Saccharomyces cerevisiae S288C: one gene and its partners. The gene in region 1 interacts genetically with each later gene. Each region holds a gene or a part of one and is shown on either strand. Other genes may lie near its edges. The genes, in order: FRA1, MDL1 and MUB1.

Region 1 (3,758 bases):
AAGGTATCATCATCGATCGATTTTAGTATCCAATCGATAAATTGATCTACTTGAATTTGTTTTTCCCTCATAGTAAAATGGTCGGGGCCATATTTGTGGCCCACATGGTCAATACCTAGCATGTGTCCAATCATGACGTCCCATTCCTTGTCCTGCTGTAAATGATCATGGAAGTAATCCATAACACCGTTATCGACAGTATCTAAGTCCCACACATTGAGTGATTCTAGTGGGAAACTATCGTTGGAAAGGAACGGATGGAACAGAGCCATCCATGTATCATCTCCGGCAAATTTGACAGTCTTATTTGCCAAATGGAGCTGTTTAAGAAAGTTATCCTCTTCGATTACTGTTCCATCGAAGTTAGACCCGGCATCAATGAAAGTCGGTAAGGACCCTGTTGTGAGACCCTTGAGTCTTTGTAAAGTAGTGGTTGGTGGGTCGGCAATGAACTTCAACAATAGGGAAGATGCATCCTTATCGCTTGCAAAAGAATCATACAATGATAATATATTATTATGATAGTTCAAGTTGTAATTAGAGTGGGATTCGTTTACAGGAATAGCGAAATCAAATCTCAAAGCGTCAATAACCAAAATCACCGCCTTGTTGAACCTAGGAGGTAACTTACTCGTTTCGTTTTGTGAGGAAATATTATCAAGAACGTGTCTTGACAGTAAGAATCCCCGAGTGAAAAAAGCTATTGATATGAATTGTAAAATGGCGATGAAAACCAATAGAATAATATAAAATTTATGATTCTTTTGAAATTTCTTTATTCGCGATTTGTATATTATTTTTTCATCATTGGAAGATGAAAGAATCGACTTTTTAATTGTCTTTTCATCCATATTACGGGAGCTTTTTTTTTCCACTTAATGTATTGATCTTCCTCCCGTTCTTTGACGATTCGGCGTTGCCCTTAAAACATATGCTTCTATTCCTTTTTTGATCTTACCCATTTATTTGTTTTTTTTTATTTTCCGGTGGACAACAAAATGTTAAAGGAAAAAAGAAAGTACCTTGCTCGTCATCGCGCTTGCATAATGTGCGCCATTACCCTGTAACAAAAACAAAAGATAGAGTGGCAACAACTTGACACAACTTTGCAATTGTACCATGAACCCCAACAAGAAAGGCGGTTGAGAGTAAATGATGTGGTTTGGTTCCTTTTTTTTCCTACATTTAAGGTTCATAGAGAAGAAAATTTTCTGAAATGTCTTTTCCTCTTTTAATGAATTGTAAAAAAGCCAGTATTGGAATAATATTCTATTCAATATAGTAAGAAAAGAGGCAATGGGCAGAAATCTTCTCCCGCATAATCCTTTAAATGCAAAATACATGTTAGGCGTCTAAATTTTTTTCAGTGAATCCAGATGCAGAAACATTTAAACAATAAATATCTTAAACCCATTTTGAAGCATCGGCGGCTAAAAAAATGATTTTGCATGGAAAAAAATGAGAGCTGTGAACCCAATAAAAAAGACAGCTTTTTAAAAATGTATAACGGTACATTAAGCTCTTGTTTATTCCTCAAACTGCTCCTAAAAACCATCCTCTCAAAAATAATAATGATAGCTGAAGATTATCTGCCACGAAATGCCATTGAGCCGCTTACTTGTAGGTTTTCATGAGTAATAACGAAGATAATTTACCCGTCTTTATAACCCACGTAAAAATAAACATATAATTATTTCTTATTATTTCAACTAACCGTTAAAGTGTTCAAATATGGTAGAAAGCTTTCCCTATGTGCATTATGATTATCTTTTAGCCGCCAGAGTTTAGTTTAATTTTGTTTTGTTTTTGACGACTTCTGGTGTTACCCGAAGGTATATCCCCGGGTGACCCCTAAAAATCGCACCCCATTTTCCCGAATTTTCTTCTACGTTTTCTTTTTTCAGAAATACTTCGAATGAGGGATGGAACAAGAAGGAAGCGACATACAAAAACTGAGTCAGTTTAGTCTTAATAGGTGCAATATTTACAAATACAGGAAAGGCAGGAAGCACTGGCAAAAAGACTGCATAGCTAAAAAAAAAAAGAATAAAAAAAAAACGGAGACCTCAACAGAGCGAAACCAATAATTACAAACAAAATCTTCATATGACTTCGAAACCATCCACCAGTGACGGCAGGGCTCACTCGATTTCCCATGTACCTGGCACGCACATGAGAGGAACATCGGCATCACACAGCCCCAGACCGTTTAGGCCATGTGCGGATTGTACGTGTTCTCCAGGCTTACTGTCTAGGCAAGGTCGTAGAGCCTCTCTATTTTTAAGACAGTTAGAAAATTCAAGGAGGTCCTCCAGCATGCTTCTCAACGAGTTGAAGGGCGCTGGCGGAGGTAGCAGTGCTGGAAATGGGTCTGTTTACTCATGTGACTCTCTATGCGCTGTTAACAGGGAAGTTAACACTACTGATAGATTGTTGAAGTTGCGTCAGGAGATGAAGAAACACGATTTGTGTTGTTATATTGTGCCCAGTTGTGACGAACATCAGTCCGAATATGTATCATTGCGAGATCAAAGGCGCGCCTTCATTTCAGGGTTTTCCGGATCGGCCGGTGTAGCCTGTATCACCAGAGACTTGTTAAATTTCAACGATGACCATCCGGATGGGAAATCCATTTTGAGTACTGATGGAAGATATTTCAATCAAGCTAGACAAGAACTAGATTATAATTGGACACTTTTGAGGCAAAACGAAGACCCAATCACTTGGCAAGAATGGTGTGTCAGAGAAGCTTTGGAAATGGCCAAGGGACTTGGCAATAAAGAGGGAATGGTGTTGAAGATAGGTATTGACCCAAAACTTATCACTTTCAACGACTATGTTTCTTTTAGAAAAATGATTGACACTAAATATGACGCAAAGGGTAAAGTGGAGCTGGTTCCCGTGGAGGAAAACTTAGTTGACAGTATTTGGCCTGATTTTGAAACTCTACCTGAAAGGCCTTGTAACGATTTACTACTGTTAAAATACGAGTTTCATGGTGAAGAATTCAAAGACAAGAAGGAAAAGTTACTGAAAAAGCTGAATGATAAGGCTTCCTCTGCGACGACCGGTAGGAATACTTTCATAGTAGTTGCGTTGGATGAAATTTGTTGGTTGTTGAACTTGCGTGGATCCGACATTGACTATAATCCAGTTTTTTTCTCCTACGTGGCTATTAACGAAGACGAAACCATTCTTTTCACCAATAACCCCTTCAATGATGACATATCGGAATATTTTAAGATAAACGGTATTGAAGTCAGACCTTACGAACAGATATGGGAACATTTAACAAAGATAACTTCGCAGGCTTCTTCTGCGGAGCATGAATTTTTGATTCCTGATAGTGCATCGTGGCAGATGGTTCGTTGTTTGAACACCTCAACCAACGCTAACGGTGCAATAGCTAAAAAAATGACTGCACAAAACTTTGCGATAATTCACTCACCCATCGATGTTTTGAAATCTATCAAGAATGACATCGAAATAAAAAACGCACACAAGGCGCAGGTCAAAGACGCAGTATGTTTAGTGCAGTATTTTGCATGGCTGGAGCAGCAATTAGTGGGGCGCGAGGCACTGATAGATGAATATCGTGCCGCAGAAAAATTGACCGAGATTAGGAAAACCCAAAGGAACTTCATGGGCAATTCCTTCGAAACAATATCCTCCACAGGTAGTAACGCCGCCATCATACATTATTCGCCGCCCGTAGAGAACTCTTCGATGATTGATCCTACCAAGATATATCTTTGCGA
Region 2 (3,758 bases), 450 kb from region 1:
TTTGAAGGGTACGATTCTCTCCCTGAAAGACAAATGGAAAGTCCGCAAAAATCTAAGATGAAGTCTCCTACATTAGCATCGACCGATGATATTAATTCCGCTTCTGCTTCCGTAAACTCACATGCTACCTCAGTAAAACAAACTGAATTATTTGTGACTGATAATTCTTCAAAAATCAATGACTCTGTGTCGGCGCAGTCCAGTGTCACTACTAACTTCAAAGATACTTTTACCACCCCAATGACATCAGGAATGCTCAACCATGAAAATTCAGAGAGAAGCTTTGGTTCAGGATTAAAACTCAAAATCACTGATTCAAATTTGGAAAATATGGAAGACGTTGAAGCGAAATCTGCTAACGAATTCTCTACGACACCAGAAGACAAACATATTCACCTCGCCAATGCAGCCGAATTATCCGCCCTTTACGACAAATATTCCACATCTCCGTTTGGTAAATCGGAGGCTAATTCAAGCCCTAAACCTCAAAAATTGGAAGTTAAAGATCGGTCAAAAAATGAAAACAGAAGCCCCTATGAGAGATACGTAGGTACATCCGCTGAAAGCAAGACATTTGAAATAGGTAACGTCAGAGAGTCGAAAAGTACGATAAATACTTCCCTTTCTTCGCCTTTGAGGGTAGAAGATAGTAGACGTTCAAAAAATGAGGACCTGGGATCTTTGAAAGAGTTTGAAGAGTTATCTCAAAAGATTAGCAATATGGGAATGGCAAATATTTCTTCAGAAGCTTTAAGTGACACAGCAGAAAACAGTTCTTTTGTTACGGACCTGAACTTGAATATCAATAACAGTTCATCGGTCAATCTCAATGAAGAACAACGTGTGCCGGATTTTGGGGAGGAAAACGTATTTGATCCAGATTATATGGAACAAAACCAAATGTTGGAAACAGAAAGTAGGTACACTACGGATGAGTTTGACTTTTCAGATAATCAGGATGCAGCATCCAGTAATTATAGCAATGGGCAAACCAACCGAACAGTAACTGAAACCCTTTCTGCCAGTGACAGAAATGACAAGATCCCACATTCTTCTTTATTTACAAACTTAAACCAGCTTACTTCGAATGGAGGAAACTATCAGGATAGGGAAGATTTCTCTGGTGATCAAATAAACAAACCTCAACAATCTCAACCACTTCATGTGAAAGGACCACAAACTTCGTCATTTGGTTACAGAAATTCTTCAGCCAATAGCTCGCAGCCTCAAGCACCATACCCGGTTGGTCGCCCGTTAGGTAAGATAAGAACGGGTCCGCTGACCGTCCAGCCTATGCAACAAGGTGGAAACTCATCAATGTATTCTTTCCAATCTTCGCAACATCGGTTTCATTCGTCGCAACAGCGCCAAAACCAATCACTTTCCTTCAGAAACAATACCTATGGAAGTGGTAACAATCAAAATACATTCCATCCATCGCCGCAACTGCAACAACAGCCTCAAAATATGAGATATTTGAATAATAAGTTACCAATAAATGATAGATCTCCAATACCGCAAACACAGCACCATGTACCAGATGGCCGTCCCAGCCTCCATATAAATACCACTAACCGCACAAATCCGCTTACTGCACAAAGTGGATTTTCTCAATTTATGCCTCCCAATAGCACATCAACCAACCCATATTCCAGCTGATTCATTTATATTTCATCTTTTCTTTTTTTTTTTTTTACAATTCAGTAGTTTTATATAACTTCCCATAAATGTATTATTTTTTTAATACGACTATAATATACCTCTATACCCTTATTTATCTCTTTACCTTTGCTTTTAAGCTAAACAAATCTTCATTAACAGGTATTATATTACTGGCGTCGCGTTTCGTTTAGGCGCATCGAGCCGAGACTTCAGAATCACAAATGCTTTGTATATATGTTACGTATTCAGTATTGCCCAACATGCAACTAGATTCAACTAAGCAGACGTGGGTACTTACATGAGAAGCAGATCATTGAAATTTTACTAAGTTAAAGAAGAGGAAGGGCTCCAATGATTGTAAGAATGATACGTCTTTGTAAAGGTCCAAAGTTGTTGCGAAGTCAATTCGCATCAGCAAGTGCACTATATTCAACCAAGTCATTGTTCAAACCTCCCATGTACCAAAAAGCGGAAATTAATTTGATTATTCCACATAGAAAGCACTTTTTGTTGCGGTCGATTCGATTACAATCAGACATTGCGCAAGGAAAGAAGTCCACCAAGCCCACTTTAAAGTTGTCCAATGCAAATTCAAAATCCTCGGGGTTTAAAGACATTAAACGGCTATTCGTCTTATCTAAACCGGAATCCAAGTACATTGGTCTTGCCCTCCTTTTAATCCTCATTTCAAGTTCAGTTAGTATGGCTGTACCTTCCGTTATCGGTAAATTATTAGACTTGGCTTCCGAAAGTGACGGCGAAGATGAAGAGGGCTCAAAAAGCAATAAGTTATATGGTTTTACGAAGAAGCAATTTTTCACAGCATTAGGAGCAGTATTTATAATTGGAGCAGTTGCTAATGCAAGCAGAATCATCATTTTAAAGGTCACCGGTGAGAGACTGGTCGCAAGATTAAGAACGAGAACAATGAAAGCTGCATTAGATCAAGATGCCACATTTTTAGATACTAATCGTGTCGGTGATTTGATCTCAAGATTATCATCTGATGCATCTATAGTGGCCAAATCGGTCACACAAAACGTCTCTGATGGAACAAGGGCAATTATTCAAGGGTTTGTCGGTTTTGGCATGATGAGCTTCCTCTCGTGGAAATTGACTTGCGTAATGATGATTTTAGCCCCTCCTTTAGGTGCTATGGCACTGATATATGGTAGGAAAATACGAAACCTATCAAGACAGTTACAAACCTCAGTAGGTGGGTTAACAAAAGTGGCAGAAGAGCAATTAAATGCTACTAGGACAATTCAAGCATATGGTGGTGAAAAAAACGAGGTTCGCCGCTATGCAAAAGAGGTTAGAAATGTATTTCATATTGGTCTGAAGGAAGCGGTTACTTCCGGTTTATTCTTCGGAAGTACTGGGCTAGTTGGCAACACTGCAATGCTGTCGTTATTATTGGTTGGAACAAGCATGATTCAAAGTGGTTCAATGACTGTCGGTGAATTATCTAGTTTCATGATGTATGCCGTGTATACCGGAAGTTCATTATTTGGTTTATCGAGCTTCTATTCAGAACTTATGAAAGGTGCTGGTGCGGCTGCCAGGGTTTTTGAATTAAATGACCGTAAGCCATTGATTCGTCCGACTATTGGAAAGGATCCTGTGTCATTAGCCCAAAAACCCATCGTTTTCAAAAACGTGTCATTCACTTATCCCACTCGGCCCAAACACCAGATTTTCAAGGATTTGAATATTACTATCAAGCCTGGTGAACACGTTTGCGCTGTCGGTCCATCAGGAAGCGGCAAATCAACAATTGCGTCTTTGTTGCTCAGGTACTACGATGTGAACTCAGGATCGATCGAATTTGGTGATGAAGACATCAGAAATTTCAACTTGAGGAAGTATCGAAGACTAATAGGATACGTGCAACAAGAACCACTACTTTTCAATGGGACTATTCTGGACAATATCCTCTACTGCATTCCGCCTGAAATTGCGGAGCAGGATGATCGTATTAGACGTGCTATTGGAAAAGCTAATTGCACAAAATTTTTGGCCAATTTTCCAGATGGATTGCAGACTATGGTTGGTGCTAGAGGCGCGCAATTGTCCGGTGGTCAAAAGCAAAGAAT
Region 3 (3,758 bases), on another chromosome or scaffold:
TTGGTCAATTCTGGGTTAGCAATTTCTGGTTTCAAGCCAAATTGTACGGTCGGTGGGTTTTCCTTAGTTTGACCCAAAAACTCCCAAGTAGAATTTCTTGCAAGACCATGTTGAGGTAATTTACTCAAATGTTCATCGGTGCTATTTTTCCCGAATACAGGAAAGACCAAAGGTATACCACCTCTCACAGGTTTGCTACCATCCAATTTAGCAGCAGTAGACAACCACAACTGTTCTTCAGATTTCAATTTCCAAGAATAAACTGTAGCACCGTACTTTAGAATATGAACGCTGGTGGTCTCATCAGCTGGATGAGTCAAAACAACTTCTTTATCAGTTTCTTTGATAGGCATGGCTTTGTGTTTTAATCTTTCTTGGTTCAAGTTTTACCAAAGGCTTATAATGAACCTCAGAATCACCTCTTTATTCATTTCTAGGGACCTACTAAGTTTTCTTTCGGCGTGAAAAATAAAAGGCGCATTGGTGACCCCATTTGCGATACCTTTTTATGGAAAGACAGCTTGAAGAAAGACCTTGTTATCATTGACTGCGTCTAGCGAACGAGGACATCTACACACTATTTCTTCTGCTGCAATGATTGATGCCGTTTAGATGAATGGTCGGGACGTAACTTATGTTTTAAGAAGAAGGCACTTTTCCTGGTGCAATAGATGAATCTCGGTTTCAAGTTAACTATATAAATATGGGGTTGGCATTATATGTCATGCTTTATTATAATTAGGCATATAAAACTACATGGTTATGAAAGGCGCTGGCAGTAAAAGGGTTGTTTGTCAATGGCAAGAATTAATCATTCTCGCATTGAAATATATGTAGATCGAGGTGAACTGTTAGATGGTCCATCAGACATTTATTATTTTGACTTATGTATTTCCCTCTCAATTTTGTTATCAGTAATCGAGTCATGTGTACTTTAAAGTTCATATTCTCACGTTTTTCGCAAGATATTAGCCGCCAATAGCAACTCCGAATAATAAGAGCTATATAAAGGCCGTTGAAGCCCACGGAAAGAGAAAGAAAACTAATAGTTATTACAATATAGACCGTTGGTTTTTTCTTTCCCTCCTGGAGCAGCTGCGTATAGTTACTACCTAAGAAGTGGGCTAGAAGTTGGCTAGAAGTGGGCTACTTAATATATATCTTTGGATACATAGAAAGGAACCAGGAAAAAGGAAAATTATTTAGATGGCTTCCATAAGTTTATGATGGTTCAAACGGCAAAAAGCCTTTTGACTATTTTTCTTGGTTGAACTATCTTCTTATTAGGCCTACTACAACAATGCATCGAGCTAGGATAACAACTAGAATACTTTGGTTATGTATTGTATGGGTGTTCAGTGGCAAAATTTGAGAGTTGGGTTATTGATGGTCGGCCTATACAAACGAAAGACCTAGAGCAGCTCACAAGGAAGAAAGTGCTGGACAAACTTCCCTACCTGAAGAGAAAAATATCCGTTTTTTATATAGTTTCTGTAAGTGTGCACAGTGACTTCCTCATTAGAGCGATATAGATAATTTGAGACTTTATTTATTTTTTATTTTTGTTGGTTCTCATATTCAACCTTCCATTTATCTAAGTTGAACCATTAAACATTCCCTTTTTTACTTTGCTAATTTCATCATACCCATTGATCAACTATAAGTGAAACTTGGGAATCTTCCATTATACAAAGGTGAGGTCCCTATTTGTTGCATTTTTCAATTCATTTCCCTGGGAGTTTTTGTTTGTTTTTGCTATATTAACATATCATAACAGCGTATAGAACGTAATTTGAAATATTCAAAACAAAGAAAAGGTAAAGAAATGAGAGACTCTAATCATCGATCATTAACGTCGAACAAGCCTATAGTAACAATAACATCTACTGTCTATGACCGAAGGGCATTGGATATCAACTCTAGTATTCCGTTAATAAACTCCCTAAACTACTTAACATATCTAACCTCTAATTCATCAAAAGTTAGGGAAACGGTAGCTAACGACGGTGCTCTCGAAAGATTAGTCTCAATATTGAGGAGTTGTCATTTAAGTTTGTTTGAGTTGCTGGATTTGGATTTAGAAAATTTTAATGAGCACGAAAACATAAAGGATCTATGGAAGGAGAAAAGACTAGCACTATGCGCTTGGAAATGGACTTTAACATTTCAGTGCTTAGTATTGACAGGTACTAGAGGGACAGAACAAATTCGTAAAAAAGTGGTAATGTCTGGGGTCTTATCTGTGCTGGTCACAGTATTGGATAACTATTTACTATATCATAAAAATTACGACTTCATCAAAGATCAAACAATGACCTTTGACTTCAAAGGGATAACCACGGAGACAATGTATAAATTCATGAGAAAAGATGAGAATGAAACATATCAGCAGTATATAGAGTTCATTACAGGTCAGGATAAATTGAAGTTGTCAACTGACAAAAATTTTCTAAACGAACGATTAGTGGCACCGTCTATGACAATTCCAACTGATTTTAGTGATATATGGGGCCGGTTTGCAGACCTAGCTAGCAATTTTGAACCTGACCAGGAAAGACACGACGACGACATTGATATTGATAGTGAAGTAGAAAGTGAAAATTTTGATGCACATAAGAATTTCTTTTCGCAACCAGACATTAATAGACCTACAATTTCCACTCCACGTGAATTTTTTCTCGGAAGAATTGTCCCCAAACAAGACGACGTTATATGGTCGCTTCAGTTATTAGCTTTTGTTTCGAAGTATACATATATGAAATCAACCCTTCAAAATGTTGAGCTGGTTGAATCCCTATCGTTCAGAAGTATGGCTTACAAAATTAAACAGAGAATCTCAGAAGAGAATGACTTAGAAGAACAAGAAAGAGACGTAACTGTAAAATTGTCTTCATTATATCCTTATTTATCGAAAAATCCTGAAAACAATTCCAAAGTTAAGGCACTAGATACTAGCAAAATGGATCCATTTTTCAAAGAATTAGAAGAACTCTCAAACAGATGTCAACAAGAAGAACAAAATGAAATATGTAATAACCACTGTCCCGTTCTTAATTTGTTTGAGCGCTACCGTGTACCGAAACCTAGCGACGACAATGCCTATGGCAAAGACAAGGAAAGAATTAATTTAAGGAAGAAAATATCTGATAACTTTGAAAGGCGCTGGAGCTACGATAAAATGAAAAAGGAATTAACAAATATTGTTTACAAAAACAAGGTACTAACAAATGTTGTAAACATCTTCCCCTTAGTCGAAAAATATACAGTGAGCGCAGAAAATACACATGATGTTATATATTGGAGTTCTGTCATCATGAGAAATTCATGTCGAAAAAATGAGATCTTAGGTGTGCGTCAGTGTGCCAATTTTTCGTGCGGAAAATGGGAAGATTTTCCAAGACAATTTGCAAAATGTCGTCGATGCAAAAGAACGAAATATTGCTCACGAAAGTGTCAATTAAAAGCATGGGGATATCATAGGTATTGGTGTCACGAAGTTGGATCAAGTCATATGAGATCCACGAATACTACCACAGGTGTCAATACCCCAAATGAGCCTAGTTCTTTAAATGCCACCGCTACTACAGCAGCTGATGTTTCGAATTCTACCAGTACGTTCACTCCTAATATATCCACCACCGTACCTGATGAAATAAGCAATAGGGATGAAAATAGCATACCTGAGTAAAGTACAAGGGGATTTCGATGACCTAGGTTTAACAAGATCATGAAATATTCATTAACGGAGTTTTTTGTTT

The links.
Region 2: mutations in FRA1 (region 1) and MDL1 together harm fitness more than expected from each alone (negative genetic interaction), as found in Saccharomyces cerevisiae (2 studies listed by BioGRID).
Region 3: mutations in FRA1 (region 1) and MUB1 together harm fitness more than expected from each alone (negative genetic interaction), as found in Saccharomyces cerevisiae (2 studies listed by BioGRID).

The regions. Positions count from the first base shown.
Region 1 is NC_001144.5:79,355-83,112, forward strand, and holds the start of FRA1 (aminopeptidase P), read left to right. Parts: upstream 1-2,106; coding exon 2,107-3,758. Other genes in the region: mannose-ethanolamine phosphotransferase GPI13, read right to left, coding at 1-851; RRT7 (Rrt7p), read right to left, coding at 1,002-1,343. UniProt on the Saccharomyces cerevisiae protein: Involved in the regulation of the iron regulon in responss to decreased mitochondrial iron-sulfur cluster synthesis.
Region 2 is NC_001144.5:526,287-530,044, forward strand, and holds the start of MDL1 (ATP-binding cassette permease MDL1), read left to right. Parts: upstream 1-2,013; coding exon 2,014-3,758. Other genes in the region: SKG3 (Skg3p), read left to right, coding at 1-1,659. UniProt on the Saccharomyces cerevisiae protein: Mediates export of peptides with molecular masses of 2100 to 600 daltons generated upon proteolysis of mitochondrial inner membrane proteins.
Region 3 is NC_001145.3:464,475-468,232, forward strand, and holds MUB1 (MYND-type zinc finger protein MUB1), read left to right. Parts: upstream 1-1,825; coding exon 1,826-3,688; downstream 3,689-3,758. Other genes in the region: YMR099C (glucose-6-phosphate 1-epimerase), read right to left, coding at 1-353. UniProt on the Saccharomyces cerevisiae protein: Involved in the determination of the onset of polarized growth. Required for the ubiquitin-dependent degradation of RPN4. Cooperates with UBR2 to transfer ubiquitin from RAD6 to RPN4.